Schizosaccharomyces pombe: one gene and its partners. The protein of the gene in region 3 purifies or fractionates together with the protein of the main gene of each other region. This does not show direct contact. Each region holds a gene or a part of one and is shown on either strand. Other genes may lie near its edges. The genes, in order: rpp21, pop100, rmp1 and pop23.

Region 1 (6,151 bases), on a different chromosome or scaffold from region 3:
TTATTATTTTATTTGATTAATAACTTAATTTCTTGGGTACTTGAAGGGATCTTTAATTTAATACTTGGATTGTGTATCCGGGTTCTTATTATTGCCGTTGTTTTTAAACAATTTCTATGTGCTTTTGTTCATGAAATATTAACTCCTCTATCTTAGACTGGTTTATATTACCAAAAAATATACGTCTAAAACCTCTTTGACCCCTTCTCTTTTTTCTAATTTTCCTCCTCGCCCCTCTTTATTTAATTTCAGCCCACTCATAAATGTCTGTATTGTTTCAATTCAATGCTAGAAGCAAGGTGAAACCCTTGTATTTTTTATTATCTTTTTATCATTTCTGTTTGTTTTTATTTCGTTGTTGAACATTATTTGGTTTCAATTTTCTTTCAGAAGGTTCTTTCTGTTTTATTTCGCTTTTTCCCTTCTGAAAATTATTTTGCCAATGAGACACTGCTTTATTACTTGAAATTTTCTGTGCAACCGGAGCCTGGTTCTGCTGGAAGTATTCGTTTATGACAGTGCATTTATAAAACGAATGACAGATTTACTCTGAATCAGTGGCTGACAATATCATTTTTGAACTTATCCGAAGTAAATTCATGATTCTTTGTTATGAAATGATCATAAATCGTTTTTGAAATATTTGTTCACATGTATGATGTACCTTTGTTTATTGAAATTTGACTTTCGTATTGTAAATGTGAGACATGATCCATTCTTTTTCTACCCAAAAGAAGCAAAAATGTAATATGAATGGATAAGAGAAGTCAGCCAAAAAAGGATTAGCTTTATATTAGACATTTGTTTTTCACTAGCAATACCCAGCTGATGGGTAAGAAAACTAGATAACGGTTTCGGTTCGTATCGTTATAAACCCTTGGTTGCGTAATGTAGTAGGCAATCTTCTATAACGAAGTAAGCAGTTTTTCGTTAAATACAATACAGATTTTAAGCAAACTAGCTTTGCATTCTTCACCAGAAACTGAGAACGTGAAGCTTTCGGGAATGGATCCACAGGTAGGAGGTTTATTACCTATTTGTAATTATTTATTGACCGCGTAGGTGGTAAATTTGCTTCAAGAAACTGAAGGTGTGTACCGATTTTTGTCTGACGACTTTTTGCTAATGAACTCGACGTATAGAGGACGTGTATCGGCGTAAAACCGCAAGGATTCGAAGAAAAGTCTCGGAAATTGAAAAGGAATGCGAAATGTATGCTGTGAAAATTTACAACGTTGAAAGAGACATTCAGCGGTATCGCCATGAAGCGCAATTGCTATCTAAAGTGCTCGAGAAAAAAGGGTTAAATAAAGAAAAGGAAGCTGGTGAGACATAATACTTGTTTTAGGCAGGCGCTTGATGTTTTTATTTTTAAGTCTTCATTCGTTTTAAAATCACTTTGCCGGCCATTGATCTATAATCGTTAACATGCTTTTTTTTGACTAAGTATATGAAGTATGTAATGATTGATGGTAAAAATTGGACTCTGCAACCGAAGAAAAAAAACCTTATGTAATTTTTTGAAAAGTCATACTTTGTGCCGAAATCAATACAATATCTACGTACTATGGCTGTTGTTGTCCTTTTTTGTGTAACCCATTTCAACGTTCTTTTATGTGGGAAATCAACTAGGAATCTTCAAAGAAGAGAAAAAAAGAGCTTTATCTTCTATTAAGTAGGATTATTATAGAAGACTACCGTGTAATGTCAATAAATCATGAACTAACCGAAACTAAAAAAAAACTAAAGGAAAAAGCCGAAACATATGCGTAATCAACTCGATAAATATGGTTTAATTTTTTTGCCCTTTCCCATTTCTTCAATTATGTAAACATAATGTAAAAAGAGGAAAGATTCTTCGGTTGTTATTGAAACAGCTTCCAATCCACCTATGTAGAATAATGTGTTAGCAAACAGTAAAATAAATTTGTTGGAATTGTTGATTACTAAACGGAAGTCATTCAATTTGAAACCATCGGCCAAACGTACCACTATACTGAATAAGGCTATCAGCACCAACAGCCCCATAAGGATTACCACAATCCATTCTAGAGATTCATCATGTGTATGTGTTATCTGTTCTTTCAACATTGAAAGTAGGTCTCCAATTACCTCCACTCTTTGATTTAGTAAAGCAACTCTTTGGTTAATTTCCAAGTAAGACCGTGCTGCTGTATATATAGGTTCTAACTGCGGCTCCGTCCACATCAGCTCAGGACTATCCAAAACGCTTCCTTGTAAATTAATGTTAATTCTTAAAATAAACAACTGGCCTACGGCCATCATAATTTCCTCTCTTTTCAAATTCACTCTGCCAGTCTCGGCAATCATTTGGGGTGTATCTTTAGTAGCATCTATTGTTTCGTTGACCAGCTCTTCAAATAGTGATATTTTGACTGATTGAGCAATAGCATGTGAAATTGAAAGACGAATCATGTAGTTGGATGCATCCCGAAGTGCTATAAAGTCGTTGAATATCTATATCTGTTAGTCGACTAGCTTCACCATGAGGAAAAAGAGCTAAAGACAAAAATTTTTATCAATAAAAATGTTCATACCCTTGGTTGATAAAGAGTCGTTATATAGTAGTTAAACTCTTCTACCTCCATATCTTCGATCTCTAAAAATTACAAATGTTAATAACTGCTTAAAGATACAACAATATGATAATGACTGTCACCCAAAGTAATTTGCATACTTAATTTTTCAATTTCAAAGCGACCGAGTTCTCTTAAGAAACGATGCTCTTCATCAATTGTGTATCCCCATAAAACAACAACGCCATAAGTAAAGCAAAACACTTCCCGAAACAAGGGTTGATTCCTGTCCAACCCGGATTCTTCAAAAATACTTTGTAGACTTTCTTGAGAAGATTCTCGATTTAACGTTCCACGGGAGGACTCCAATGTGTCAGGAAGTAAGTCTGTCGTCTCTTCATTATTGTAGCTATACGGACTATAAATACTGTTATAATGTTAGATAAACCTCTTCAAGTAAATATCAATAAGGATCAATAGAATGAGAAAAATGCAAAAATATTAACTAACCATTCGTCAAATTGTTTAGGTCTTGTTTTATGACTACTTCTTCGAGATTGAAAAAACTTAAACAGCAAGTCGACTCTAAATGTATCGCATGTACAATAGGCAGTTACTCTTGGTAAGAATTCTCGATGCCGTTTTCCAAGATGCTCTGCGTCTCGTTTTGCCGTTGACCCTTCTATTTGAGGAATTTGGGAGTACACTTCGCGCCCCGTATCCTGCCTTCTAAAATCATCAAATTCTTCTGTAGAAGGAAGAAGCCGAAGCTTCGCTGCAGTTTTTGTGGATCTCTGAGGCCCAATTCTATTACTCATCCTCAGAATGCAAAACTGGAGTTGGTAATTGACACAAGCTCAACTTCAGGTGGTAGACAGTGAGAGACCTCTCTTGTAAAGGAATGAACGATTAATCGGAAACTTAAAAATATGCTCATAAGGGCGTTGTCAAAAGAAAACTACTGAAAATATGCTACGCACAATAACCGCAAGTTGACGATTTGTTTGCTATTCTGTGATTGACATTTCCGTATATATTTCGCACCATACAAGTGACAAATCAAAGAAATAGTAAATAAATAAGTTAAAAGTAAATACAAATAGAAGAAGGGGCCCCTTGTCTAAACTCGTCCAACCCAAACGAATAGTTCTAATACAAATGTAAATAAAAGTAAACAACGGGAAAAGGTAACGATCAAATCTAAAACGGGAAGTTCAAATTTTAAATCAAAACTACATTAAGACAAATGAGCTGAACTAAAAGAGGAAGAAGTACACGGCGCTGAAGGCTGTAATAAATGTCAGAAAAGTTTCAATCCTCATTTTAGAGGGAAAATATGTGTATAAGAATATGACAACTAGATAGAAAATTGATAGATCAATCAGAATCACTCATATCGGTGACATAAAGTCTTGTAAACTTAATGAAGATGTGCTTTTTGCAACCTCATCTTTTTTTTTCTTCCTATCCAAAATTCCATTAAGTCCGGAGGCTCTCAAACGTTGTCTTTGTTTTACTTTGGCATTATGGGCAGATTTTCGACTTTCGAGTTTCGTAGATGAAGATTCAGCAATAGCTTTAGCACGTAACGCTTGTTTGCTTTGGTGCAAGCGAAGAGGTACCCCTAAAGGAATTTCATGAACATAAGAGCAGACTAAGCAGTTAATTTCTAAATTTGTGCCCAACCTTGAGACCTCTCCTTTCTTCAAATCTGTCCGTGCCTTCCTCTCTGAACTAATTGTACGAAGTTTTATATTACGGCCAAATATAAACAAAGATCCACATTTGGAACACCCGTGCAAAAGTGTCTTTGGATCTGTTTCCAAATTCCATTCCTCCAAAAGAGAGAACATCCTCCTCAAGTAGTGGCTTGACAATGATGGACTAATCGCGTATGTCTCTGCCGCTATTGATAACAAAAATTGCAGTTTACGTTCTTGATCCATCTTTGGAAGTCTTGTTAGCCCAGGAAACTAAAATATTTGGTCAAGTGTAGATGAAAGTGTTACAGACGCCAATTCTCTCTGAAATTAAAGAATGATTCCAAAAAAAAAACACCAATGCTCTAACGAAAATTCTCCTCTATTAAAAACTATTTAATTATTCTTTACCATGACGATTTTACGTAGATATAGCTGAATAGCTTCTTCGTAGTAGTAAAAAGTAGTAGTTATGCTATCTTTACCTATTTATCAACAACATATGGCACATCAACAAATTACATTGAATAATGACCTTTTTAAAGACTTTATAACAGACTTTCTTGATATTCAACTTTGACAATAATATCACTACTCAAAATTAAATTCACCCAGTCCCAACAAAAACTAATATATTGCTTTTGCAAACAAGTTTGGTCAATTGAGGAAAATTCAATAAGTAGGTTACAGGGTAAACATGTCAATATACTTATAAATCGCTACGCTATAGAATGTTTATCAAAAAACATGATAGAAGCTTGAATAAACTCTATTCAAGTGCATCAATGGATTTCAACAAAACTACATACATTACTTTCAAAATCAAAAGACGCCCCTACAATAATTAACCGCTCAATGTACTTTTTATTGTTATTTGTTTATGCAATGAGCTCAACAACACCGCCGGCTTGCTTAATCTTTTCCTCAGCTCTGCGAGAAACGTAGCGAGTTTGAACAATGACAGGGGTCTCAGGAAGACGTCCCTTACCCAAAACTTTGCCATAACCGGATTGAAGGACATTGATGACGGGAGCAACCTCAGTGTTCTTGCCCAAATACTTGTCACGAGCCTCGTTGGGGAGTAAAGTCCAGAGACGGTCCAAGTTGACAGTGGGACGCCATAAGGGATTCTTCATGAGGTGGAAACGGCGCATACCGACCTTACCAAAGTAACCAGGATGGTACTTATCGAAGTGACTACGGAGGTGTTGTAAACCACCAGCCTTACCACGACCACCGGGATGCTTCCTGTGCTTGCCAATACGACCGTGACCAGCTGAAACGTGTCCACGAAGCTTACGAGTCTTAGATACGTGAGTTGGCATTTTGATGTCCTGCGGTGAGTTGACACTAGGAATGTCAGTTTTTCGGTTATGTTGTTCTACTAAGACCAGTCACACAACCCTACCCTACCATATACTCTGCTAATTGAATATTCGATCCATCCTTATTCTACCGATAAGTAGCATGACTTTCGGTAACAACAAATACACTAAGATTTCTCGCTTTCTGCTAAGTATACGATATGGCCGACAAATGCGTATTCGTAGTCAAATTTAATATACAAATGAACTTGCTATATATCTAATAAATAAATTCTAAATACCTATACAATAGACTATCAAAATAGTAGAAATGTCATGGCGCCGTAGAGGGAGGAAGTGCTGAAGAGGAAACGACAGGATCGCTAAGACGAAAAACAACAACGTCTTTGTCCAAACCAATTTGACCCATGTCCTGAGGTGTAATAAAAATAAATTGCTTATCTGAAGAATCCTTTGCAGAATCTACCATCATTTTAATACTGACTAGTCTATTAACAGCGTCCATAAACACATCAAATTCATCAAGACAGCGGAGCGGACAACTCATTGCCTCCCAAATTGACAACAGCATACAAATCGTTGCAAAAGA
Region 2 (9,858 bases), 270 kb from region 3:
CGCGGCGACATTCAACTTCACGCAAAATTGCACAATCCCATACCGGTTCTTCGTCTACCTCTTCCGCTGCCAACGTTCGATATAGATGTACGGAATGTTTACAAGGATTTTCTAGGCCTTCTAGTCTAAAAATTCATACATATTCCCATACAGGAGAAAGGCCGTTTGTCTGCGATTACGCTGGATGTGGAAAGGCGTTCAATGTACGCAGTAATATGCGGCGACATCAACGCATTCATGGTTTGTAGCCAATTTTAACCTGTCTGATAGCAATTATTAGCCGTTACTTGAAAGCCATTTATTGCGACTACTACAACTTCTGACGATATTAATTTCATGATATATAAAAATTTATTGAATAAAACCACATAGCAGTTGGCTGCCCGCACCCTTAAAGAATATATAGCATTACCTTCCGTTCCTTTTCTTTTACGTTTTGTTATCGCGCGTTTACTAGAGTTTAGTTTAAAATAATTTTTTTGATTACAGTTTGCGTGTCACGTTTCTCATTTCCGTTTAACCTACCTAGCTTTAACATATGCTTAAAGTCTCATTTTATTATGATTCGAAGAATCTATTTTGAGCTTTCTACTTCCGAAATGTTCTTTCATTGTTAGCTAATTTATTACCCTTAAAAAGTTTTCTATCGTACAAATATGTGTTTACTAGCGAACTCAAGATATCAATCAATTAAGTCCATTCGAAAGATCTGGCAACGAACGACATATTAAGTGGATAAAAAGGAATTTCTGATGAATCCTATTACAGTAACTATTGAATATGCAGATATAATAATAACAAAATTTTTTATTATTCGTAACTTGAAATGCATCGCATTTCAACATCAGTTGAAAGGATGCTCATAAACTAAAATGATACGTAAAAATCGGTCGTTGGAATAAGAGATATTTTTATAAAAGTTTAGAAAAGTCGCGAGTTTGGAGAAGGATGGAATATGGACTAACTTTTCCCTTATCCCAATCCACAAGGCAAGGTCGTCGAAACAATTGATTATCATGCTGGTACTTTGTCAAAGCATCTTCAATAGACGTAGCACCTGCGACAAGTAAATCACTTTTATCTTTACCAATGTTAGAGAGCATGATATTCAATTGGTCAAGGGTTGGGGTAGCTGTTTCGACCTGTAATTTAAAATGAAGCATTTGATTATCCGTTTTTTCACCTGCAATCATATACTCTGTTAATTTTTGCTCAACTAGCGTCTGTCGCTTTTTGGTAAACAGTGTCAATATTCTTTTCGTGGTCAGACCAAACATTTTAGGAGAAACACAGCTGAAATTCACTAATAATCAAAATTATTTATTATTTCAAATTTTAGACACCAGAGTCAAATAATTGCCGAAGGAACAAAGTGGTATAAATGCACTATGCTCAACTCTTTAGTAGTGATTTGGAGTAATTTAAATTTTGTAATCAAATACTTTTTATTCTAAAATAAACTTTCAAAATAAAGGTTTTTGCAAATTTCTTGTAAAAAATTGAATTGAGGTAAGTGGAATATCATGGTATATGTATAACGTATATACATGGCAAACTATGGAAATACGGTATGGCGAATAACGGATGAGCGTGAAGTAAGGAATGGGTTTTAACAAACGAATGTTGAAATTCTAAATCAAGGACCAATTTTAAGTACTTTTACATTTATCTTGTTCGTCAGTTTCATCTTCTGTTTCACTACGAAAGGAGAAGAGTGTTTTCAATTCGTCACGATACCAAGCAGTTAGTAATGGAGCGACAATACAGGCAGGACTGAGATAAAGCAAAGCTGGCTGTGCTGCTTTAAAGTAATATAATGCAAAATTTGTAACTCCAAGGCCAAGCCCATAAGCTATAAAGGTATTCCGAAAATATGTCGAGTGCTTCTTAGGCTGGGAGGTAGAATTAATATAGTAGTGAAGATCGAATCGATACATTAACGCAAGCATCAATCCAGGCATGACAATGTCACCCAAACCAAGCATCGAAAGCCTTGTAGGGTTTTTGAATTGAGGAAGTACATACTTAGCTGGAATGTCAATTCCAGTAGCTACCGTCACCATGACTTCGGTACCAAATACAAAATAGATATCGTAGAAGAAAAGGGCACCAAGGAGAAGCGCACCAGTATTATACGAATCAATTCTCATAATACTAATGGAATTAGCAGCTAATGCCCATGCCAAAATATTGGATGCCATCCAATGTTTAGTTTTAAAGTAGAATAATGCAATGGCAATTGAACTCATGGTTGCGGTAATTTTTCCAAATGTCGTTTTTGGATTAAAGCTACGTACAAAACATATTATGGATGCTAAGCTTGCGTAGCCCTGTAGTATCAGCTGAATATATTCTTTACTCAGATATCGAAGTGCCAAATACATCAGAACAAGCGTAACTCCTCCAAAAATAGGAAACAGCACAGCTAAGCGCTTATTAATAAGTTGTTTTTCTTCAGGTTCTTCTTCTTGGGCAGACCATTTCGCCCCTATATAAACTGTAAATAAAGCTGACGAAGCAAGTATTACTCCCTCCATCTTTTGTAAAATGATGAACCAAAGGAAATCCAAAAACTTATCCCCTTCAAACCTCAAATACTCGTGAAAATATTTCCTCACGCGTTTGCAATAGTATAAACAGTTGTCTAGGAGGATACTGTAAAAGACTCACAATAATTTAAATGCTAACAGTGCATTATGTCAGATAATGAGTTTTAAGGTAACCTGATGCAACAAGCAGTTAATAGTTTGTATTTTGAATATGTTATTAGGCTTTTTCGAAACTAGTTCATTCAAAACCTCTAAATTAAACATTTTCTTCTTCTCTCGAGCATATAGGTGTGACTTGAATGTGCCATTAGGTCCCACAAAGTCATGCATTCGTTGCGTATTATATGTGTAAACAAAGCAATATACTTTATATCGTAATACATTCCCATAAATATGTTCTAAAGAATAACGGCATGAATAAATGAATTTGAAAAAGCACCCTTGAATTCAGTATTATCTACGGCAAAACGGAAAATTTGGTGATCGGTTTATAACTTTCAGTTGACTGATCAGTAATTATATTTAAGCGTCATTTAGCAATTATTCTATTTGAAAGCATTTCAATTTCACCAATTTTTAGTTAGTTGCATCCAAGAAGATGCCAACAGATATAAAGGAGTTTTAATTATCAGTCATATATAAAAGTAACACTTTTTTTATACACATGGCAAAATTGGAATGCAGTCCTCAAATCTTTTTAATGAGACTGATTAAACTTCCATTGTGCTAATCGTGGGACGCTACAACCTACGTTGCGAATAATACAGTATCCGGATTTCTCATTTTTAATCGTTTTGGCTAGAACATTGGCTATACCAGAAGGTTTGCCTGCATTCAAATTGAAATTTCCGGTCGTGACGAATCCTATAATAGCCGTCTCGTTTGGACACTTTGGGTAAAGCAAATTTTCAGCAGTGAGATTTTCTTTATAAATGATGGTCTTCCATTTACTAAGTTCATCGTCACTAAGACAATAAATTCGAGCCCGATCTTGCAGGCTACCTCTTTGCACCAACTGTACTTGAACACGTACTAGCTGCAGAGTTTTATCTTCATCTCGTGAAGCCTTAACCATCTCGTTTAGATAAACCCAATCACAACAAAACGGGTTACCTATTTCTGAAAAATTATCTCCGAATTTTTGATAATTTACGCGTTTGGCAGGTGGACGTCTTTTCCAGCTATCTTCATTTCGTTTTTTTCTTTCCTCTTCGCAAAGTTGCCCACTAATCGTATCTGGATAATCAATCGGAAAGAAAGGCATTCTTTTTTCAAACGCAATTTGGTGCAAATTTTCTAATCCGCCAAAACGTATTCCTTTTTGATACATCATCTTCCTCCATACAAACTTGGCATAATCCCAAGGCAAAATAACAGTGAGTCCGTTCCATTCTTTTCTATACGTAATATACACGGGTATAACTTCTTTTTCAGAAGATTTTTTCTCATGAGTATGTCTATTTTTATTCTCAAAAACTGCAAAAGAGGGTATTTCCTGTCTCTCCCAATACCTAAAATGAGTGCTATATTGGTTTGCAGATGCTGGTAAACTGTTTTCAGCAGAATCTAATAAGCTTTTTTCTCCCTTTTCGGATAAATTTTTATCGCAACGAGTATTAACTAATGCTTTCACAGATATCGAGGCGCCCATGGGTAAGCATGCGCTTGAATAATTGGAAATCGACTGCCAAACTTTTCCTGCTTCATCTAATTCAACGTCGTCAAATACTTTGTGGAGCATAATGTTGCTATCGGGTCCGTGAATATCAAAAGATGCTAGATCTAGTCGCCAATCGTGCATAGCAATGCGATCATCCAAAACAGCTATACCAGATAAGTAATTCCATGCTTGTAGAAATGCAGATGGATGTAAACGTATAACTAACTGCACACATTCGGTAGGATTTTTTACAGGGATCTGTTTTTTGTCATCTTCTGTAGGGTTATTCCATTGTAGAAAACAAGGGCATATGAGCTCGTGTATGTCAGACTTCACGAGGTAAGATGTAAATGATCTAGAAGAATTCAGAAATACAGGAGGCAGTCCGTTTGCAAAAGAATTTCCAAACTTTTCTTTGAGAGCTTCGTATGGCCCGCTAATGCAAAACAATGGTTCATAAGACATGTCGAATGCAATTGCATCTTTCCGAAAAGCTGCTCGATGGGTAGGACGATAGGATTTCTCAGTCGGTTTTTCGGGAATGGCATATCCCCAAGCATTTATCATGTGTGCGCGTTTGCATACCCATAAATGAGTGGGAAGCCATACCTTCCGAAGTTGACGACCAGCAAATTTTCCACGTATTAACTTGACGGCAGCCAAGGACGGAATTCGCGAATCATCTGTAGAATTGTCTGTAACCAAGCTTCCCGTACTGTCAATTGCTTTGGTTTCACCTGATTTAGCTAACTTTCTTCGCAAGCGTTTGATGAATCTCTTTAACCGTTGTCTGGAAGGTGCAATGGGCAAAGTAGATGAGGAACTGAGTTGCATTTCATATAAAGCTCTATCCCTTAAACCTTTAGGTATCCTTTTTATATTATGAGAAGCTGCTCTTCTTCGTAAACATCGAGGAAGAGCTTGGAAAGCACGCTGAGCGCTGGATTCTTTTGATCTTTTCATAGCATCTTGTAAAGCCGTTATTTCAAAACTCCTTGATTCAATGAATTTTTTTAAGTCTACAGCACCATTTGAAAGGGCAGGTGATTCAACCTCTATGAATCTAGCATCAGCGAGCTTTGACCTTTTGACGTTTAGTCCCTTTGGTTGCGTTCCTCCAGTTGAACGCTTCATTTCATAAAATTAGATAAAGTGGGGGACGGTTTTTGTAGCAGCCTTAATTAGGAAGTTAATATTATACAGTGGAACTTGTTTGTTGCATGGATTGATAAATTACTCAAGCGCGTACGAAAATACCATAAAAATGATTTTTTCTATTTGATTTCTTTTATTTATTAGGTTTGAGCAAACGAATCTGCAAATATTGTTTTGAATTTAGAAAAAAAAATGTAGGTGCTTGATTTGGCAAGTTGACAACGCAAGTTGAAAAGTTGTAAGAATCCACCAACGAGTTGAATTAAGTCGTTGCAAGGAGTTCCTTGAAGAACAATTTGAATGAATATAAAAGGAATAGATGTATCATTTGATGCTCAAAAAAAAGAAATCTTAGAAGGCTTGAAATCCTCCGTACCTGATGCATCACCCAAAGGACACCCAGATAGCCCAATATTTCCATTGCTAGATGTTATAAACTCCCACCCGGATTGGGTAACAACTAGTTCATGTTCAGGAAGAATTTCAGTCTATGTACAAGGAGCAAATTCCAGAAAAGGAGGTGGATACTGGCTTTTCGTTAGTCATCAGGCACATGAAGAACTACCACCGGTTTTAGAAGATGAAAAAGTGGAATACGGAAAGGTTCCCAGTTCTCCGGTAGAAGGAAATCGGGAAATACAATACGCTTTTGAACCCATGATTCTGCATGTTCAAACGAGAAGTTTAGCGAATGCTCAGCATTTGCAAAGAGTAGCAGCAAGCTGCGGTTTTCGGGAAACAGGAATTCAAGGTAGTGAGCAGAAGTTTATTGTGGCTATTAGAACAAGTTTACGAATGGATATTCCTATAGGATGTCTTACAGCATCCGAAAAGCTTCAGTTTTACATTACTCGTGAATACATGTGCTTCCTTTTCAAGAGAAGCGTTGAGTATTTTACTGAAAATGGAAATCGAATGGCTAGACTGAAAGAGCAACTGGAGAGACAGGTAGAGAAAAGGATGAAACCAAGGCGGAAATTAAGGAATATGGACGATTATTTGGTGCAATCGTAAATAACTAACAAGTATAAAGTTTTTTGTATAAAAAGATAGTCCCTGTCTAATAATAATAAGAGTATGGTAATAAACAATCATAACGAAGCATGACTTTCTGGAGCAGTTAGGTGTGATACAAGTATATTAACCCAACGTTTGTTGTCTAATAAAGATAGTTCAAGTCTGTGATCTCTTTTCCAGTTTTCATCAGAATACTGATATATCCTTGATTTGACCACTCTAGTGGATTCTGAAGAGCAAACAAGGGTAGCTTGAATGACTTTCGGAATTTGAATGACAAGATGTGTACAAGAAAGATTGGCAGATATGTTTGTCCCATCAATTGTCAAAGACTTATTGATTTGTAAAAGTGCGTTTTTACGACAGATATATGCGGTCAATAATTTATCTACTTTCCACAAAAATATTCTAAACCTTTCAGGGTTCTTTCCAGTCAAATACTCGTCAGCCCATTCTTGTATGTTCAGAAAGCTTGGAATCGTATATTTATATAAAGCAAACGAGTCGTGAAATACTCGAAAAATTATATAATAGGGAACATCAAATCTATTTCCACCTTCTAGTTCTTCGTCCATGCCAGAGGCGGAAGATATTGGATTCTCTGAGAGATTCGTAAAGCCTATATTTACTGGATTCAACATGATATCGAACCGGACACCAAGAAGCGGTATAGAAGGAGCAGTCTCAATGGCTCCTGTCTTTTTATTTTTTACGAGAAGGGTCTTTCTAGATAACTCCTCAGGATCATTGGGTTGGAAAAAGGAAATACCAGAAAGTCGATCATAATGCAGTGCAGGTTGATTTAACGGAGTCTCTTTCAGAAATTCATTGTTTACAGATAAATTTTTGGACAACTCGGGCTTCTGAACGAGATCGGACAGTGTCGCATTATCTAAAGACTTTAATTCATCAAGCAATACATCCCTTCTGGCTTCAAGGACGGAAATTTCATCGATGAGTGTCGCATTGCCTTCTTCATCGTCCATGGCAGCAAAAAAAATTCATGGAACTAAAAAAACTGTAGTTTCAACAGTTTCTTAGGGCCTTATTGATAACATGAACCAAGCATAGAAATTCAGTTACGCTTAGACTCGTCCACGTATGTCAAAGCGTCGAAATACACAGCAGCTTTTATAATTTAATCACTGTAGCATTTCAGAGTTTCGAACTGGAATAGTATTTTAGACGAGATTTGTAATTAGATCAAAATTAGAGATTGGTAGGTTTGAAGATGTAATGGATAGGAAAAAATGAAGATTGCAAATCTATTTGCAACGAAACGAAAAATTATGCAATATTTTTAACTGTTTGATAATATGTAAATTAAATATTTTCTTAATGAGTTACAATAACAAAGAAATGTATAGAAAGCAAAGTCGGACAAGTTGTATATAACTATATAAAATTGAAGATAATTAAATCGCCAGTTTAAAAAAAAAAATTAAAATTAAAATCTAGGAAAGAAAACAGAATGGTTATTTACAAGAACAAAGAAATTTAACTTATAAAATATATAGAATTAAATTGACATAATCCAGGAAATGAGAATTATTTTGAAGAAAAAATAATGACATTTAACAAAATGACATTAAAAAAAAAGAAAAATAAATTAGTAAAGAAAAAAAATGAAGGTAGTTTTCCTTCTTATATAAATGATTTTAAAATCATTACATTTTATAACTCACCAATTAGTGCATCCCTATTAACAATTCTTTTATTAAAGCTCTTCACGTACAATCCCTTAAAACATTCATATTGCATTAAGAAAGCAACAAAATTGTATATTTAATATTAGATTATGAGCGCGCAAGTGCTATACATTGTAGCAGTTTTAAGGATCGTTGAATGTACATGGGGTTTTGATTTGACAAAAGCCAAGTTTGTGTTAAATGAATGCAAAGGGAGAATGTATTATTCAATGTTAAATAATATAATGTGAACTTTTAAGTGGTATTTGTTTACAATGAGCTAGAACAAACATGATAAATTACATTCTTTAATTACAGTATATATAGTTTAAATTAATGAAGCAAATGTCTACGGCCATACCTAGGCGAAAACACCAGTTCCCGTCCGATCACTGCAGTTAAGCGTCTGAGGGCCTCGTTAGTACTATGGTTGGAGACAACATGGGAATCCGGGGTGCTGTAGGCTTTTTGCTTTTTTGTAGAAAACTAAATTTTTTTTAGTTCATTTATTTTCTTTTACATTCTTTTTTATAAAATCAGTTTGGCATCTATAAAACAGGCAATTGTTATATAGTATATTTCATAGTGTCGAGTTGATTTTTGCTGTCATGTCTTTGATACAATTGAGAAAATGAAAATTTAATAGAAAAGTCTTTGTAATACAAAGAAAATCAATTCATCCAGACTGTAAAACTGGGTTCAAGCGACATTGGGCTTACAGTTTGTAAAACACTAAAAATCGGCGATATTCAATAAAAAATCTACAATTTCCAAAATAGCGGTGAGTTAAAGTGATTACTAAAAAGAAAATAAAACCCAATGAAATAAATTTGAATGAAGTAAGGTAGATTTTTTTTTTATTATTATTTATTTTATTTATTTATTTTTCTCTTCTATAGTAGGGATTGCTTAGATGAGCTTTAGTTCTGGGCATACAAGGCATACGAGTGTAAACACAAATTACCACTGCTGACTGAAAAACGGAAAAGTCCATAAACAACGATCAAAAGTCAAACAGAAACAAAAATTATTGATGTTCGTCTTTCGACTCTCATCACTGCTATTTTTCCTACTATTCGACTTTCGGTTTATAAACACTGTATATACTCGTTTACTACCAACCCTATTATTCCTCTGCTACAATATTGCTACTCATATACCATGATCTAACGCGTGTCACTATGCACCTTTATCGTATTTTAGCGCATTGAATTAGCGCTTGTTTTTTTGGGTCACACTTATCAATGCATCGGGGAGTCCCCCACTCCCCCCACTTACGATAGGCCAGGGTTTCACTATCATAGTCCATGCCACGTTCCAATCACCTTACAGTGAAACCGCCCGATCACAAGCTTAGTATTAGGCAATATTCAGCGATTCATTAAATGGGTTTAAAGAGAAGTAACGAGGCTGTATTAGGATGAAAATTCCGCCATATTTATGCCATTCATCTTTCCCATTCGAAGTATCATATTCAAAGGCGAATTCCTTCTCTCCTAACTAGATTTTTTCTGTAAATTTACGACTGAAAGCTCTTCCCTTTACAGTCCTCCTTCATTGTATCCTCCTTACCCTTGCCAATCCTTACAGCGAGTTCGGCTGCACTAGGCCCCCCTACTGCACCTTATCATATATGCACCATCACCACCGTGTGATGATTGGATATCTCGCACCTTCAATTCGCTCTATGCAGATAAGGACCGAGGGTGATGAAAAAGCAACGATATAGAGACGAGATAAGGACAGGTTGACCAGATAACGATTTTATATAAAGAAGGGTTTTGCCTAC
Region 3 (7,835 bases):
GTTACCCATAATTATTAATAACCAGATCTCAACTGATATTCCAACATATCACATATAGTGATACGCAACGAAGTGTATATTAAAGTAGTGTAGTCTTGCACGGTATACATTTTTGCACATAATGCTATTCTTCATTATATGCAAGAGCACCCTGAACTGAGGTTACCAATGTAGTTGGTGTCTACTTCAATTTACGACTCACAGAAAACCCTTCAAAGGCTGAATTCTCTAAACCAACTGGAAGATAATGGATTCTTCTCCTAATGAGTTTTTGAATAAGGTCATCGGCAAAAAAGTTCTTATCCGGTTAAGTTCTGGTGTCGACTATAAAGGTATTTAACATGAATTGCGTCGGAGACAATGCAAGTTTGCAATTTGTTTCTATCGCTTTAACTTTTTTTCCGTTATTTAGGGTTTGTTAATACTAAACCTGTTTTTTAGGAATCCTCAGTTGTCTTGATGGTTATATGAACTTGGCCCTTGAACGCACAGAAGAATACGTTAATGGCAAGAAGACGAATGTTTATGGAGATGCATTTATTCGTGGAAACAATGGTATGGTATTTATATTAAAGTGCTTTGATTTCCTAACTACCGTCCAACAGTCTTATATGTTTCTGCTTTAGATGATTAGAGACGATTTCTAGCCCTTCAATACGATATACGATTATGGTACAAGATTGGTTAAAGTAATTTGCATAAAATACAAATTATCGTTAAAAAATACAAACACGTGTATACATAATAAGTTCTTATGCTAATGTTGAAAAGAAGAGCCAGAGTTCAATGAAGGATATATATTTGTAGATATTGATGTATCATTTAGAAGTAAATGTAATTTATAGCCCTTTAAAAAAAACCGTTTTCGTTAAACAAACACAGAGACGATGACTTTGGCATCATTTTTTTTTTTCAAGTTGTCATCAAATGAAACTATAATATACACTTCTTTTACCTTTGAATTTCTTCAATAGCCAAATCACCCATTTAGCCCATCTATAGAAACGAAGGGACTAGGGATATAGCTCCTGTATTTGTGAGTGAGAAGCCGCAATTCCACGTTTCCTTCTCCGTTTAAAGACAACTCTTAGACATAAGAAAAGGATAGCGAACGCAGCCAAAAAAGCAAAAAATAAGACAGATTTTGAATTTCGGTCTATCCAAATAAATACTTTAGCATCAGTGCCATGCCAGCTATCACCAGTAACATGTGAAAAAAATGAATTAGGTCCGTTTCCATAAAGTAAAGCAGGTAAGACGCGCACTGGTTCATGCGGCGTAAGTAAGTATTTACAAAATTGATAAGATAGGAATAAAGGTCCTGCACTGAGAAACACCGTGGGATATTTAGTGAAATAACGGTGGTTAAACTTTGACAAGTTATGTATCGCCTGATACAGAAATGGATGCTTTGGTGTAGCAGCAAACCAATCATTGCTATACCCAATGGGTTCCGTCGAAGGCAATATAAAAGTAGCTTTGCTTAGAAGAGGATCCATGGGTTTTTTACACCCAATATCCAAATCCATGTATACGCCGCCGTAATGATAGAGAATAAAGTAACGTGCAGCATCAAATTTCTGGATATTATAAGGATAGCTGTGGAAAACAGGCATAAACCAGGAATAATTTTCGTTCATAAAAGACATAATTTTTTCATCTGTCCATAAAATGAACTGCCAGCCGTTTTCATCAGGATGTTGGCGCCTGCAAGAGTTAACAGTATTAGACCATCTCTCTGGAATATTTTCATCCTTCCAAAGCTGGTGAATCACTCTTGGTATTTTTTCCATTTCTCCTGGAGCACTAGTATCATCTGATACATCCGATAAACTTAAGGTAAAAGGTTCAGTCGCTTTCCCTGGTACCATAAATCTCAATGTGTTATAAAGGGAATAGCCCCAGAGGATCAACAAAATAACGCCGCATATAGGTATTCCCTTTAAGAGAAGCTTGCGACATTTCCTTCCCATGATTGCAAACAGATGTAATTCACCTCGGCAGCAAAACGATAAAACAAAAGAAGCGAAAAAACAAGAAAGGTGATATGGTGAGCAAAATTCACTTGTTCTAATAAGAAAACCGTTGAAAAATAAAATGAATATTTAATTTGTTCACGATGTGCGCATAAAAAACAAATAACCAGAATATATGCAGTGATAGTGTTGAAAAGTGTTTCAGTAGAACAGAAAACCCAATATTAATAAATTGAAGGTTTAATAGAATTAGAAGCTCAGAATAGGTTGAAAAGAATAAATACGTTATGGGGATGGCTTAGAATCGCTGCATATTCAAACTTGACAAGTAACGAAAAGAATAAATTAAAGCCCGCGAGCACTTCAAATGCACAGATAAATAAAAGATATGTACAAACAAAGAAAAAAAATATGTTTGATTCTATACAACAGGATGCCTTGATGCTGGATGAAATGCAGTAGAGACTCAAAGACCCAAATGGTGTTATGATGAATGACAGCGTTTTCGTATCATAGCGTAATGTTCTTAATAAAAATAGAGAGATTTTGCGAGACTGGTGTCAGAAATAGATGAAACAAAAAGCAAAAGTAAAGAAAAGAAAAAATCAATTGAAAATGGAAAGACTAATTGAGGTTTATTTATCCGAATATATCATCAATTTCGTCTCGTCCCTTTCTTGCACGTTTCTTTTTTTTCTTGACTGTGGAATTTGAGTTTTTGGATTTACGTTTGGTACCTTGAGAAACAGTTATAGGAGAAGAAGACAAGAAGAGAGATTCATCTTGATTCTTGAGAAAAGAATTAGGAGAGGATACAGTCAGTTTCTCATAACTAGTAGAAGCAGGATTTATAGACAATGAAATAGGTTCCGTAGCTAGCAATTCATCGCGAGCTACAACAGTCCCAGTGTCTATGTCATCTTGAGACTGTAATTCCAATTTTTTTTGCTCCTTTTGACTAAAGACTATTTCCGATTGTATTTTTGCTTCGTACTCTATTCCGCCCATAACAAACCAAACGCGAGCTAAGATACCCAGCAAAACTAACCCTAAGGCTGGATACTGACCATGGGCAATTAAGTTTGTAAAATAAAAGTACGATTTCGGCAATTGTTCTAAAATAGCAATTTTCGCTTTTTCATTTCCATCTAGCGACTGCTTTAGTCTTCGAAGCAGCATTCGTACGTGTCTCCACCAAACACTTAGTCGATGCTGATTTCTATTCCTATACACGATTTTTTGCAATAAAACTACATCGTATTGCAATTCCTGCATATCGTTGGACTAGACAAATAGGTCGTACAAACCACCCAACGAGTGAGCAATGTGAACACGAACACGAACGAAGAAAGTATGTATGTATGAACAGTATCCATTAAATACATTGATGGATGAAAAGAAATAAAGTGTTGCTCAAGTTCTCGTTAAATCAAAATTTGGACGTTAAAAATGAACTGTTCGTATTTGACTTTAACGATTTTTATCATTTTCAATTTCTCTCGATAAGTAATCTTAACGAAAATATATTAGCGAGTAAATCAAGATAATAAACGACACCTGGTTTACGGGAGTGGAAGAAGTAACAGTCGATCCGGGCATTCCGCGGAACGAAGTAGAAACATATGGAGAGCTCATAGACAAAAACAAAAACAAAAGGTACAAATCAATGAAAAGAAATACAAAGAGTTCTAATACTTAGCAATAAAATCCGCTACTGGTCGATGCATCCTTTAGAATCCTACATGATTTATTGTGTCCTTTTTTGTTTCCCATTTTTTAATATGCCTGTTTTAAGATTTTGTAGCATTTGGTACCTGCCATTCGATACCGCCATAATATACTCGTGTAGCAGATAATTTTCACTTTAAGAATCCTTCAAAAAGCACCACTACCGTCGGCTGTTTCTGGCTTCTTTTTCACGGCGTATCGATTCCGCAGTTCAAGACATAAACTGCGTTAATTTTCCTGTCAAATATCCTCCTTTTTGTCAATTAAGCCAGCAGTTTGCCATGAAAAGAAATTTGTAAAATTTGCTGATTGTCGGTACTAAATTTTCAATAGCGAAACTGATAAAAAGTCTAAACGCTATTTGTCCGCTTAGTGCGATTTAAAAATTAATTTTATCTTAATGATATATCATTGGCTCAGTTGAGAGCTTTTGATTTTTGATTGGTTCTCCCTTGTATTTAATCTATGTACGGTACCGATTATCTCTTGCATATCAAGTCGGTACTAGGGGGGACGATTGAGCTGATTAAAAACCTCGCACCGTTCCACGGCTTACCGTTTACCATTGTCTTGTACACACTATCAAACTTGACTTCTCTTCCCCTTATATAGTTAAAGACTTTGTTAATTGTAATTATTGGAAGCTTCATCCTAAGTATAACACAAAAAAGAAAAGATATTAGAAAGGCGAATATAGAGAATTTGAAATATTTTGCTTTTAAAAAATTAATAGTGAAGACAAGGTTAATTCTCAAATTATGAAGCGTTTTTTCTCCAAACTCTTCTCCAAATCCCCGACCTCTGGAAGAGTTCCTTCTCCCGACAGTGATTATTCTGAAGAGGAACAAAGATTACTAGCAGAAGAGAATGGGTACTTCCAGGATAGCAATGAGTATGTGGAGCCTAATATTCCAGCCGTCTACGGTTCTATGATTCCTGTAGCTCAGCAGTTACAGCAGCATCATGTTCATACACCTGGCGAGAGCTTCGCAGATAACGCATCGGGATACCCTGTTATAAAGCACGAGTTGTCAGAACTTTTGCGTCTTGGATCTCCCACCGTCATCGCTTATTTGTTACAATCCTCGGAACAATTTTCTACAGTCTTTACATTGGGACACTTGGGAAAGGAATACTTGGCAGCTTCGTCCCTTTCCACCATGACTGCTGCAATCAGTGCTTTCTCCATTTTCCAAGGTGTTATCTCCTCCTTAGATACCTTAGCCACTCAAGCCTTTGGCGCTAATAAACCCTACAATGTAGCCATCTACCTACAAAGATGTCTGCTTATTTTGGCTGTTTTACACATACCTGTAGCTTTGATTTGGCTTAATCTTGAACATATTCTAATCTTTCTTCACCAAGATCCTATGGTTGCTCATTTGTGTGGTCGTTATATGAGAGTGTTTATCTTGGCTGCGTAAGTACTTTATTAAAATTTGTCCGTTCTCTCTCCTCCTTTCACTAACTGTATTCTTTTAGACCTGGATATGCCGTTTTTGAGGCATTGAAGCGTTACTTGCAAGCTCAAGGCATATTTACCCCTATCACTTATGTATTATGCTTTGCTGCTCCTCTCAATATTCTTTTAAATTACCTTCTTGTATGGCATCCCACAATTGGATTTGGCTTTCTCGGTGCTCCAGTCGCCGTTGCTACTACTTTTTGGTTTCAAAGCATTTGTTTAATATTGTATATTTGTTTCTCCTCCACCCCTATCCCGTGGCCTGGTTTCTCTAGGCAGGCTTTGAAAAATCTATCTCCCATGTTACATTTCTCTTTCCATGGAATGCTGATGATCGTTACTGAGTGGGCTGCCTATGAAATGACTAGTCTTGGTGCTGGTTATTTGGGTACTGCACCCCTTGCATCCCAGTCAATTTTGCTCACTTCTACTTCTTTGCTTTTTCAAATTCCCTTCGCTTTTGCTGTTGCCTCGTCAACACGCGTGGGTCACTTAATTGGTTCAGGAAGAGCCAACTTAGCTCGTCTTTGCTCTCGAGTAGCATATTCGCTAGCTTTGTGCATATCCATTTTTGATGGGTCTTTAATTTTCTGTTTTAGAGACGTTTGGGGAAGCTTGTTTACCAGTGATCCCGAAGTCCTTGCAGTCGTTAAGGACATCTTCCCTATCTTGTCCTTGTTTATTGTCACTGACGGATTAAATGCTGTAGGAGGTGGACTTCTTCGTGGCACTGGTAAACAGTATATTGGAGGTTTAATTAGTATCGGATCAAGCTACTTGTTTGCTTTACCAGTCACCGTTTTTGTTGTTGTATATTTCAATACCGGTCTAAAGGGGATTTGGTGTGGAATGATTTTGTCTAGTGTCACCGCAATTACTTGTCAGTTCACTGTTCTATTTAATACTGATTGGCATAGAGTTCTTCAAGAAGCTCGTCATAGATTGACCCACGTTTAATAAGTTTTCGTTTCGGCCACTCCTTTGATATTCTATTTTACTGCCGAATTCTCGTTCTTCTTTTGTTTCCGCTTTAATAATTACTTTATTTAATAGACATCCGCGATAAAAACGTATCCTCTCAATCTTACAATATATGTTTGATTATCTTTGCCTGTCAGCCTGTCATTCAGTTTACACATGTAGTCAATTGGTTTCTACCATTCCTTTTTCTGCAAAAAATTTAGAGACTTAACAATTAATTAGTATTTATCTTATTACCAAAAAAAATTTGACTTTTCTACTTTTTTGATTGTTGGTTTGTCTTTCTTCATGAGTATTTGAGTCACTATCACGCCGACTCTATACTATTGCCATATACTCAAAAAAAGCTGATTAGGTACAGAAGTTTAACAGTTGTTTTCAAGAAGCCCATATTTCCCTAATGGAAGTAGTTTCATTTTGCTTCACAATTTTAGAATATCAAACTTAGCCGGCCTAGTCATATCGTCGGTTCCCTTTAATTACCATTTTTATTGTTACAAGCCAAATTTATTTTTATTTCATTTGATATATTTTCGTAGAGATTTTGTTCAAGCTGTCTTATTAACATCCTTCTTCCTTCCTACATACATACCTGTAATTTACACGTAACGACTTCCAGCTGTTTTGTCATACTTTTGAACTAGTATGGGAACTTCTGCGAAAATGCAAAAATACGATAGGTATGAAACTCATTAAATCCTTTACTATTAATCATAGACAAGTACGGCTTTGGAAAGCTGAAGGACAGAACGCAATTGAGAAGTCGCATGTGTGTCTTTTGTATGCAAATACTGTAGGGTGTGAAGCTTTAAAAAATTTAATTTTGCCAGGTATTGGATATTTTAAAGAAATTATACTAAATAGACGTAATAGGGATTGGCTCTTTTGCTGTCGTTGATGATACTTCTGTCGATTTCAGTATGGATGGAATGAACTTTTTTATCCAGTACGACCAAGAAGGAAAATCCAGAGCTCGCTGTACGGCATCTTTGTTGCAACAACTTAATCCAAACGTCGAAATGGAATATTTAGAGATGGTATGGCTGTTTGGACGATATACTCTAACGTTTGTAGAGCCCCGAAGCTTTAATAGATAAAAACATTGAGTATTTTTCAAAATTTTCTGTAGTCTTATCCTCAAACTTAAAGGAAAAACCTCTTTTTCGCTTAGAAGAGTACCTTCGATCGCACAAGATTCCTCTGCTACACTTCAATTCAGTTGGCTTTGCCGGCATACTTCGAATTTCGACTCATGAATATACCAGTAAGTTCCTATTTAAGAGGGATATCTAACTAAAGTTAGCTACTCAATCACAACCAGAATTGCCTCAAGATTTGCGTCTGAAAAACCCGTGGCCTGAACTAATTAATTATGTAAAATCAATGGATTTGGACAATATGGACTCATCTTCTCTGTCAGAAATACCGTATATAGTCTTAATCATCCATGTCTTATTAAAGGTCTCACCAGCACACGCGCAAAATTCACAAGAAGCTGATGATTGTGCTATGTTTCGAAAAATAATGGAGGAATACAAGGGAAAATGTGATTCAGAAAACATCGAAGAGGCTTCATCGAATTCTTGGAAGGCTTTTAAGGAATATAAGGTATTTGTATTTTTTAGAACGCATAAATTAATATGAAATAGTTGCCAAGCAACGTATACGAAGTTTTACACGATACT
Region 4 (8,091 bases), on a different chromosome or scaffold from region 3:
TTTAGTGGGGATAGAAATGGATAGATATGAAAATGAAATGAATAATGAAAGGAGGTCGAATAAAAACCCAGTTGAAAAACTATTTATGGCCAAAATTCAACAAAGCAACAAATGGCTAAAGTTCAATGAAAGGGTACAGAAAAATAAAAAAGAAAAGTAAGACTTTCAACACACACGTTGTGCTTCCGAAACGGATATAATTTTCCTTGTCGTGCAGGCTGAGTCAACGAGCCCCTAAGATGAAAAAATGAGAATTTCCGTAAAAACAATGAAAAGAAAATATTTAATAGGGAGAAACCGAGGAACGCAATAAATAGCAAAACAACCAAGACTGAGAATGCAAAAAAGAAAAAAGAAAAACAAGCGTTATTAGATGAATGAAAGGACAATCGAAAACTAATCCAAATAATAATGGAGATGATAACAGTAAATATCAAATTTCTGCTATTCTGCTATGTTTCCGGCTTAAATCTTTTTTTTTGCACTACAAAAAGCGTTTTCTTGCCTACTGCGACTGTTTTCCTGGTGGTTGGGAGGTATAGGTGGTCGGTAAGTTCGGCGTGCAGTGTGGAAACGCTGTACGTTAGAGGAACACCAGCATCATCATGCATGACAAAATGTTGAACCGATGGGTTAGCGGTTAAGATGCAACATTCACTATATCTCAATCCCTTAACATTTGCCGGATAGAGCTGCATAGAAAAAAATTTGTCAAAACCCGGGTAGTAAGAAAAAGTATGGTTTAGAAGGTATTTTAAATAAATCAACGAAAATTTAGCAGAGAACAGTAAATAAAGAAGCAAAGATTGATAAGAAAGCGGTTGCTAACGAAAAGAATTAGTTTTGTAGGTTGACCTTTGAAACGACTGAAAAAAAATTAATTTTCGATAAAAGTTGAAAAAAAAGGACCTTCTAAAAACGGCAAATTTTCGGCTTCATTGTCCATTCAAAGGGGTAGAAAGGAGATACAAGGTATTTCTTTGTGGTATCTAGTATGTACAGCTTGGTTTAGTAAAAGAAAATAGATAAACAACAGGGTATTGTGGGTAAGACTATTCATGGAAGCTAGGGCTCTTTCCAAAAAATTATAGTAATATTCTATATTGTTCATGAAAAACAGTTGAAGTGCTTCTACCCTTAGTTTAATATTTTTTTAATATCCTAACTTTTGCTTGAGCACATGCCATCTGTAGTACCTTTCCTCTCTTTCATTAAAAACTTGCTTAGTTAATTTCATCTTTCAAACTATGCATAGTCTCTTAAGACCTTCAAGGTTCTCTGCCAACCAATCTGTGCTTTGCTTGCTCCAACGACATCGGGTTTTCTTTTCTTCGATTTCGGTGAAACCCCGGAAACGAATGGTCTACTGTGTTGTCAGCTATCGTGGTACTGGCTTTGCTGGTTTGCAGTACAATGCCAATGTCAAAACCATACAAGATACACTGTTCCAAGCATTCGCTCGAGTAGGCGCCGTTGTTCAGGTGAATGCTGACTCTCCCAAGAAGATCCGAATGTGTTCTGCTGCTAGAACAGACAAGGGTGTACATGCCATTGTTAATGTTCTTGGTTTGAAAGTGTTGGACAATCAACCTCTACCTCATGTGGTGAATTTGGTCAACGATATTTTACCACCTTGTATTCGTGTATGGAAAATGGCGAGGACGTTTAATTCGTTTTCTCCACACACTGTGTGCGACAGTCGCGTATATGAGTATTGGTTGCCTGTCTCCTCTCTACTTACTCCCCGTCCTTGCACTCTCGAGGCCTATGTAATTGCCAAGGCATCTGAAAAAGCATTCCCCATTAATGAAACACTTTCCCATTTAGCTAACTTAAGCAAACAAGACTGTGTTGCGAATTCCTTGTCCGAGCCCTTTCGTTTATCCAAACCTAAACTCGACTTTCTAAAGCATGCGTGTACGATGTTTCGGGGCACCCATCGATTTCACAGTTATACAACGGAGAAGGGTTTTTCGGACGCCAGTTCTCGAAGGTTTTTATTAGATGTGCGTGTGGATAACCTTCACATTGACAAGTTAAATCGCCAATGGGTTAAGCTAATCTTTCACGGCCAGTCGTTTATGAAGCATCAAATTCGCAAAATGGTTGGCATCCTTATTCATCTTACACGCACTGGATGGAATGCGCAAGTTTTGCTAAATACATTTAATAATTCGTATCGCATTCGAATACCTAGAGCGCCTGCTGAGTTTTTACTTCTCAATCAACCTATCTTTCAAGCTTTCAACAAAAAATGTTCCCGATTTGATCATGAACCGGTTGAATGGTCATGTGCGCAAAAAGGCATTGACCAATTTGCACATTCTTTTCTTCGAACTCCAATGTTTGATTGCTTCATTTCATCAGAATCGTAAGTTAAACCACACCTTTCATTTCTATCTCACATTTTATTAATGTCTCAGTTTTCAATCATTTTTCATCCTTCAAAAACAATTTCAATTATTTCAAGACTTAGCTTTGTTGACATCGTTTGACTTTTTAGAGCCCTCGTCTCGTCGTGATATTCTTGGCGAAAAATAGATATTGCCCAGCCTGCTTAAAACTCAATTTATCGATGTTTCTTTTCATACTTTCTCAATCTACACACAATCTTTCATACCTTACACATTTACACATACACACACGCAAACATATATATTTACATATACAACTACAAGAAATCTGCCATCTTAAAATTTTTTCATTTTTTAAACTCGTTTCCCTTTTCGTTTTTACCCTCTTTTTTTGTTCCTTGATTTTCCTTTTGACTTGTAATGATTTTTTCAACCTTGGTCACCTCATACTCAGGATTTTCGGAAAGCCAGCGTGCTTGAGGCTCTTCTATATTCATCACTAAATCTTTTAAATATTTCCATAGAGGAGAATCATCCTAAAATATAGTCAATATCATTCTACTTAGTCTAAAATTGACCAGTAACCTTACCTGTACGGCAATCGCACCCGCCCTGCTCAAACCCAATTTCTTGGCGATTAGCGCTTGTGCAGAAAATCCAAGTGGAACTAGTCGACATTTGGAGGAGCCATAAAAGTTAGCATTTGCAACAAGCTGGGGCATGTGTGTAACTAGCATGGAATCCTGGTCATGAAGGATGAATACGACCGCAGGTTGCGTAACGTCTTTCGCATTTTGGCAACATCTCTCTAGCAATTCATTGACAGAATTCAATCCAACGGTCAACTTCGAGTCTAATATGTCTTTATGAGAGGCAGGAAGCCATTGCACAAGTGTTTGAGCTAATTTCTCTTGTGTATTTGCATCAACGATAGGCCTAACGGTATGGTTAGTCAGTACGAAAATAGGTGTGAAAATACAAGCAATAGATTACATACCAAGAGATAGATAAAGGATTTCGAAGGACAAGCTTAACTGTTTGTTTTACTTTCGTTTGCTTTTTCTTCATAGCTCAAATATCTAGTCCTCCTTTCAGGACTTCTTTTAGGTAAAATAGTAAAACGCTATATTTCACTATTTGATTTATGAAATGCAAAGTTCATACAATTCTGTATGCAGTGATACGTTATTTTACACTATTATAGAGAAATAAAAATATCAGAAATTGAAAGATAATAACAAACGTAAAAAAGAGTTAAAGAAGCTGTCGTTTCAATTTCAATTAATTCTATCATGTTACATGCAAATATCAAGCGAGGATTTTCTCAATTTTCTAATGACTAGCATAAATTAACAGTTCTAAAATAGTAGAAGATGAAATTCATAAAAGTTTAGAACCTTCAAAAATGAAGTAAAAAAAGTTTTTGAAGTAGTAAAAATGAAGTTTAGGAGGGAAAGAACTCGAAAAAGTTAAACAAGGAAATACGTTAGAATCAATCAACTTCATCACAATCTTTTAACTTTCTAGATTAAATAGAAAATAGTAAAAATACATGGATATGATGCATGCCTTCTTATACTTACATCAGGAAATAGCAAGTAAAAATTGGTCAAGTAGAAATTTCCATCTTTGCGGAGAAAAGGCAGATTTTTTCGAATGCGAGATGTATTTTTTTAACCTAAAGAGTAAAAGAATAATGCCAAAGATTGCTCCTACAATTTTTATATTTTTGTCAATTAACTGTAAACGCGAGAGGAGTGGAGTTAAACCTTGGTTTATTAAACGAGAGACTTTTGAAAATTGCAATTTTAGGGTCAAGGCAAATTCTCCTTCATCTTCCGAGGGATCAGGAGTTTTTGAACGCTCAAGGTTCATTTTTAACTCTTCCTCTTGTGCTTGAATCCGAAGCAGTAATGACTAAACAGTTAGCGACAAGGATCAAACGTAAATGTTGTTACAAACATGCATACATTTTCAAGTTCCCCACGAGAATTAGCCAATATGGCTTTCAATGGCTCAGTAAGCTGCACGCTACAAGCACAATTGACAAGTTTGGGGAGAATTGAATCTTTCAATTCACTTTTCAAAATGGCGTCTTGGTAGCGATACAAAGAATTTATCATTTGCGCGTAGTTCTCTTTTGTAAATTCACTATTCTCTAAATAAGTAATTATCCTGGTCACGTTAAAACTTCTGATCAAAATTTAAAATACTACATACCAATTTACCACGATTGAATCCGGTATTTTCCCTTGATAGTTGTGTAACAATTTTTCCTCCATTTCTGTCCAAGAACGCCTTTGTTCACACATAATTGTCAGGCACAATATTAACGCTTGTTCGTAAGTGTTTTCACTACAATTAGCATTCTTTAAATAATTATCAAGTATATATAATGAATGTTCATCTTTTCCTTCCACGTATAGTTTATAAGCATATCCGAAAGGCGTCTTATAATCCATTGGGAGTGTAGCAGAAGCCATGGATGGTAATTGGGCTTTTATGAAAAAAATTGAGAGATATTAAAAAGGATAAATAATTTCATCAATTTCTTCTTCTCAGGATATTTAAATTGATCTAACTAGCATGAAGAGTAAGTCATTGAGTAAGATACTCTATTTAGTTTTGGTATGCAGTGGGATTCCAGTTACATTGCAAATGAATCGAAGCATGCTCATTGTCATGCAGTTTATACTTTCTCTTACAAACATAAAAATTGAAAATTGAATAGAATAGAATAGAATAGTATTAATCAGAGACTAAGAGCCTGGCAATTCGGTATATTAAGAATGAAAAAGATTCTTTCAATGCATGACCTCCGTTTATCTTTGCTATTGAGGAATGTATCGCTTCATTAAAGTGAATTACTCATCCAAGGCGTAAATTCAATGATTACTCATTATCTTGATCCAGAATGAACTTCTTTTCAATGCTCAAAAGTTATATGACTGACTTATCTGGCTAAGGTAATATTAAATAGAGCTATGACAAACAAAGGTGTATTGATAGTATAACCTCTAAAACCTTCGATTTAAATTGAACATATAGTTTTGAATCGAATGCCATATTTGTTTCAAAAAAAATTCCTTCAGTAGTCAACAGTACCTTAGCTATTTTTCTATTTATTTTTATTATTTTTGGCACATCAACAATTGATTGAAATTAACTTTCAAATTTAAAGGTTTTTAACTGTTTGACTTCTTTTTTACATTGACTAAAGTATCATTGCTTCGACCGGCAAACTATCCCAATAATAGATTCTTAAGCTTATTAAAAAAAAATATTTCTTTTATTTTGAAAGATTTAATTGTATTAACGAAGTTTAATAATAAACTCTGATAGCTATACAATTGTTATTTTAATACAACTCATTTTACAATACTAAATGTTCAAGATGAGATTTAACGTTACTTAAAATAATCCCTAATTTAAATTATTATCATTACTATTTTTTTTAAAAAAGAACACTTTTTTTCATAATTCAGGCCCCTACTGTGTAAACACATTTGGATTCCTATAAATTATCAAATATTCCTTTACTAGCTGATATATGGATTCGCTTTATAAAATACAGAAAGATAGAATTTAGTACGAAGTCGGTTCAAATAAATTTATTAAATGGGTTCCAAATGCTGAAGAATTCTACTCACCTCTATAGCGTAAAAAATGGGATGCTGCATTTTCACTTTGCCGGATATTAATTGTTTTATTGTAAATCAGTGCATGGGGTTGGTTAGAGAAAAAAAACGAAAAAAGACTTGTGTAGGTATAAAGAAAAATAAACAAATAAATAAATATAGCATAAAAAAATGACTACAACCATAAAACCTCAAATGAAATATGCAAAAGATAAATTTGTAATTACTTTTTCTAATAAAGTTAACATTCATGTAAAGTAGAAAATCTGTGAAAATTTTTAAAGTGAACAGAAATCTCGAAACATCAATCAGTTACTTTATCATTTTTCATCAAAGCTTTTTCAATCAATAGCAAAGCGAAATCAAATCATTTTGTTTTCAACCTAGGTAGTAAGCTGGCTCGTGTTCATGAATGGGCAAACACTTAAATACTAAGTTAAAATGTATTATAAACGGGTGAACGTCAGAAATAAGGGACATACAAAGCGACAATTGTGAATATTCTCCTTTGGGAAAATGGTCAACAAAATGTAAAAAATCATCAGAAGAGATAAATTTGTGACAAAACAAGACAAACATTTTGTTTGCTTTTTCAAGCATACGGAAAGGGAGTAAGTGAAAATAAGAAATAAAGCATACTCATTAATATTATTAGGTAATTGTTTTGCAAATGAATTAAGCGTGTCTTTGAATGATGTGAAACCCACTGCTCGTTTCAACCACTCCACTAATTTCACCGGGTTTCAAGGCAAACGCAGCGTCTTCAAACGGTTTTTGCATTTCGTCTCTTCCAAATTCGCCTCTACACATAGTGTTAGTAAAAATCGTTCCAGTTGAAAATCAGACTACACTTGGCAAACCAACAAGAGCTTATCACCAAGTGTGGCACCACCATATACTGTCGGTCTTGCGACTCGTATTTAATTACAGTATATCAAAATACATACAATTCACCTCCGCGACGAGCGGAGCTACAATCCGACTCTTTCATGGCTAAATCATGCATGCTTACAGAGCCACTCTTTAGCAATTGTTCATAGTGTTCAGCCAGCTTCCTCGCCTCCTCCTTGCTCCTAGTAATGTGCTCCTCCTTCCATGAGCTGGGACGACGGCTTTCTCGATGCTTTACGAGTAAATGGCTAGCACGAATCTTGGGTGAATTGCTTGCCTCGGTGGGTGTAACTGACTCCTGCAACTCGTTTGCAATGAACTTTTTCAGGGCAGCCATATCAGTGGCAGCCGGAGGCTCCCATAAAGACTCATGCGTCTCAGTATTAAAGAAGTAGGGACGATTTCTGGAGCGTGAAATCTTGACAATCCATGGTTTGGGTAACCCAGTATTAGACATTTTTTTTACCACAACGCTTCTTCAAAAAATGGATTCACTAAGACAGAAAAAATCCTCAACTATAAATTACAAGCAAAACACGTTCAATCTCTGCAATTTGAAGCTTGTTTATTTGCTTTGTTTAGAGTCACGTAGTAGCTAGAGTCGTTTGCCATCTATTATGTAAATAAAGCACATTTGCTATGTTGCTATGTCAACCACCACTAAGGCCTTCGATAGGAAAGGAAATGGGGGCATTCTACCTTTTTATCCCAAGTGGGGGCACTTTCCAAAGTACCAGAAGATAGGGCATACCTTATTCGTCAATTGGAGACAAAACTCAAGGCATGCCTTTTTGCCTCAGCATAAGCGGAACACCTAGCTTGAAAGAGTAAAAAGTCGTAGAGGACTACAAATTCGATATTTATTTAATTAATCAAGAAAAATTGGTGTAATTTGAAGTAGAAACATTTTTTTTCTGGCAGATTTGAGTGGAATTTGAGGAAAAAGGTGAGAAGTTTGGAGATTTCGGATTGTTGAACGAAAATTTGTTGGATTTGAAAATTGTTAGACTTTTGGTGCATTCCTCTTTTCGTTTGTCAAAGTTTACTTAGTGTCGTAGACTGCAGTGAGAAGAGCTCGGTTTTAAGTTTTTTTTTCATAAATAATAGGTTATTGAGGTACAATTCAATTCACCTTAATGCATATTCCACACTTTCATCTTCACAAGGGTCCCAAAGGCGTGCGCACTATATCGTATGAGCAGCTTCTC

The links.
Region 1: the proteins of rmp1 (region 3) and rpp21 purify together in Schizosaccharomyces pombe (affinity purification with mass spectrometry, with the first as the bait; one study listed by BioGRID). This does not show direct contact.
Region 2: the proteins of rmp1 (region 3) and pop100 purify together in Schizosaccharomyces pombe (affinity purification with mass spectrometry, with the first as the bait; one study listed by BioGRID). This does not show direct contact.
Region 4: the proteins of rmp1 (region 3) and pop23 purify together in Schizosaccharomyces pombe (affinity purification with mass spectrometry, with the first as the bait; one study listed by BioGRID). This does not show direct contact.

The regions. Positions count from the first base shown.
Region 1 is NC_003421.2:656,036-662,186, reverse strand, and holds rpp21 (RNase MRP subunit), read right to left. Parts: upstream 4,484-6,151; coding exon 3,929-4,483; 3' UTR 3,369-3,928; downstream 1-3,368. Other genes in the region: hap2 (Ino80 complex subunit), read left to right, coding at 1,006-1,017, 1,063-1,090, 1,143-1,336; sif2 (Sad1-interacting factor 2), read right to left, coding at 1,866-1,889, 1,990-2,478, 2,559-2,620, 2,699-2,964, 3,048-3,355; rpl2802 (60S ribosomal protein uL15), read right to left, coding at 5,116-5,562; Smc5-6 complex SMC P-loop ATPase subunit Smc6, read right to left, coding at 5,876-6,151.
Region 2 is NC_003424.3:4,183,032-4,192,889, reverse strand, and holds pop100 (Rnase P/MRP subunit), read right to left. Parts: upstream 5,577-9,858; 5' UTR 5,344-5,576; coding exon 3,247-5,343; 3' UTR 3,031-3,246; downstream 1-3,030. Other genes in the region: loz1 (zf-C2H2 type transcription factor), read left to right, coding at 1-248; SPOM_SPAC25B8.18 (electron carrier protein), read right to left, coding at 912-1,277; intramembrane aspartyl protease of the perinuclear ER membrane Ypf1, read right to left, coding at 1,650-2,537; wybutosine biosynthesis protein Tyw3, read left to right, coding at 5,665-6,378; kinetochore protein mal2, read right to left, coding at 6,456-7,367.
Region 3 is NC_003424.3:3,916,492-3,924,326, reverse strand, and holds rmp1 (ribonuclease MRP complex subunit), read right to left. Parts: upstream 3,321-7,835; 5' UTR 3,252-3,320; coding exon 2,616-3,251; downstream 1-2,615. Other genes in the region: U6 snRNP-associated protein Lsm6, read left to right, coding at 248-332, 442-555, 606-634; inositol phosphorylceramide mannosyltransferase activity Imt1, read right to left, coding at 1,014-1,973; SPOM_SPAC323.07C (MatE family transporter), read left to right, coding at 4,463-5,124, 5,187-6,126; NEDD8-activating enzyme uba5, read left to right, coding at 6,796-6,830, 6,868-6,980, 7,024-7,187, 7,225-7,414, 7,454-7,758, 7,800-7,835.
Region 4 is NC_003421.2:663,917-672,007, reverse strand, and holds pop23 (Rnase P/MRP subunit), read right to left. Parts: upstream 3,428-8,091; 5' UTR 3,423-3,427; coding exon 3,352-3,422; exon of another isoform or gene 3,291-3,351; coding exon 2,945-3,290; exon of another isoform or gene 2,891-2,944; coding exon 2,702-2,890; 3' UTR 2,641-2,701; downstream 1-2,640. Other genes in the region: SPOM_SPCC16C4.21 (uncharacterized protein), read right to left, coding at 453-698; pus3 (tRNA pseudouridine synthase), read left to right, coding at 1,248-2,371, 2,424-2,541; SPOM_SPCC16C4.04 (uncharacterized protein), read right to left, coding at 3,939-4,271, 4,325-4,529, 4,575-4,837; peptidyl-prolyl cis-trans isomerase Pin1, read right to left, coding at 6,668-6,794, 6,940-7,340; protein asi1, read left to right, coding at 8,020-8,091.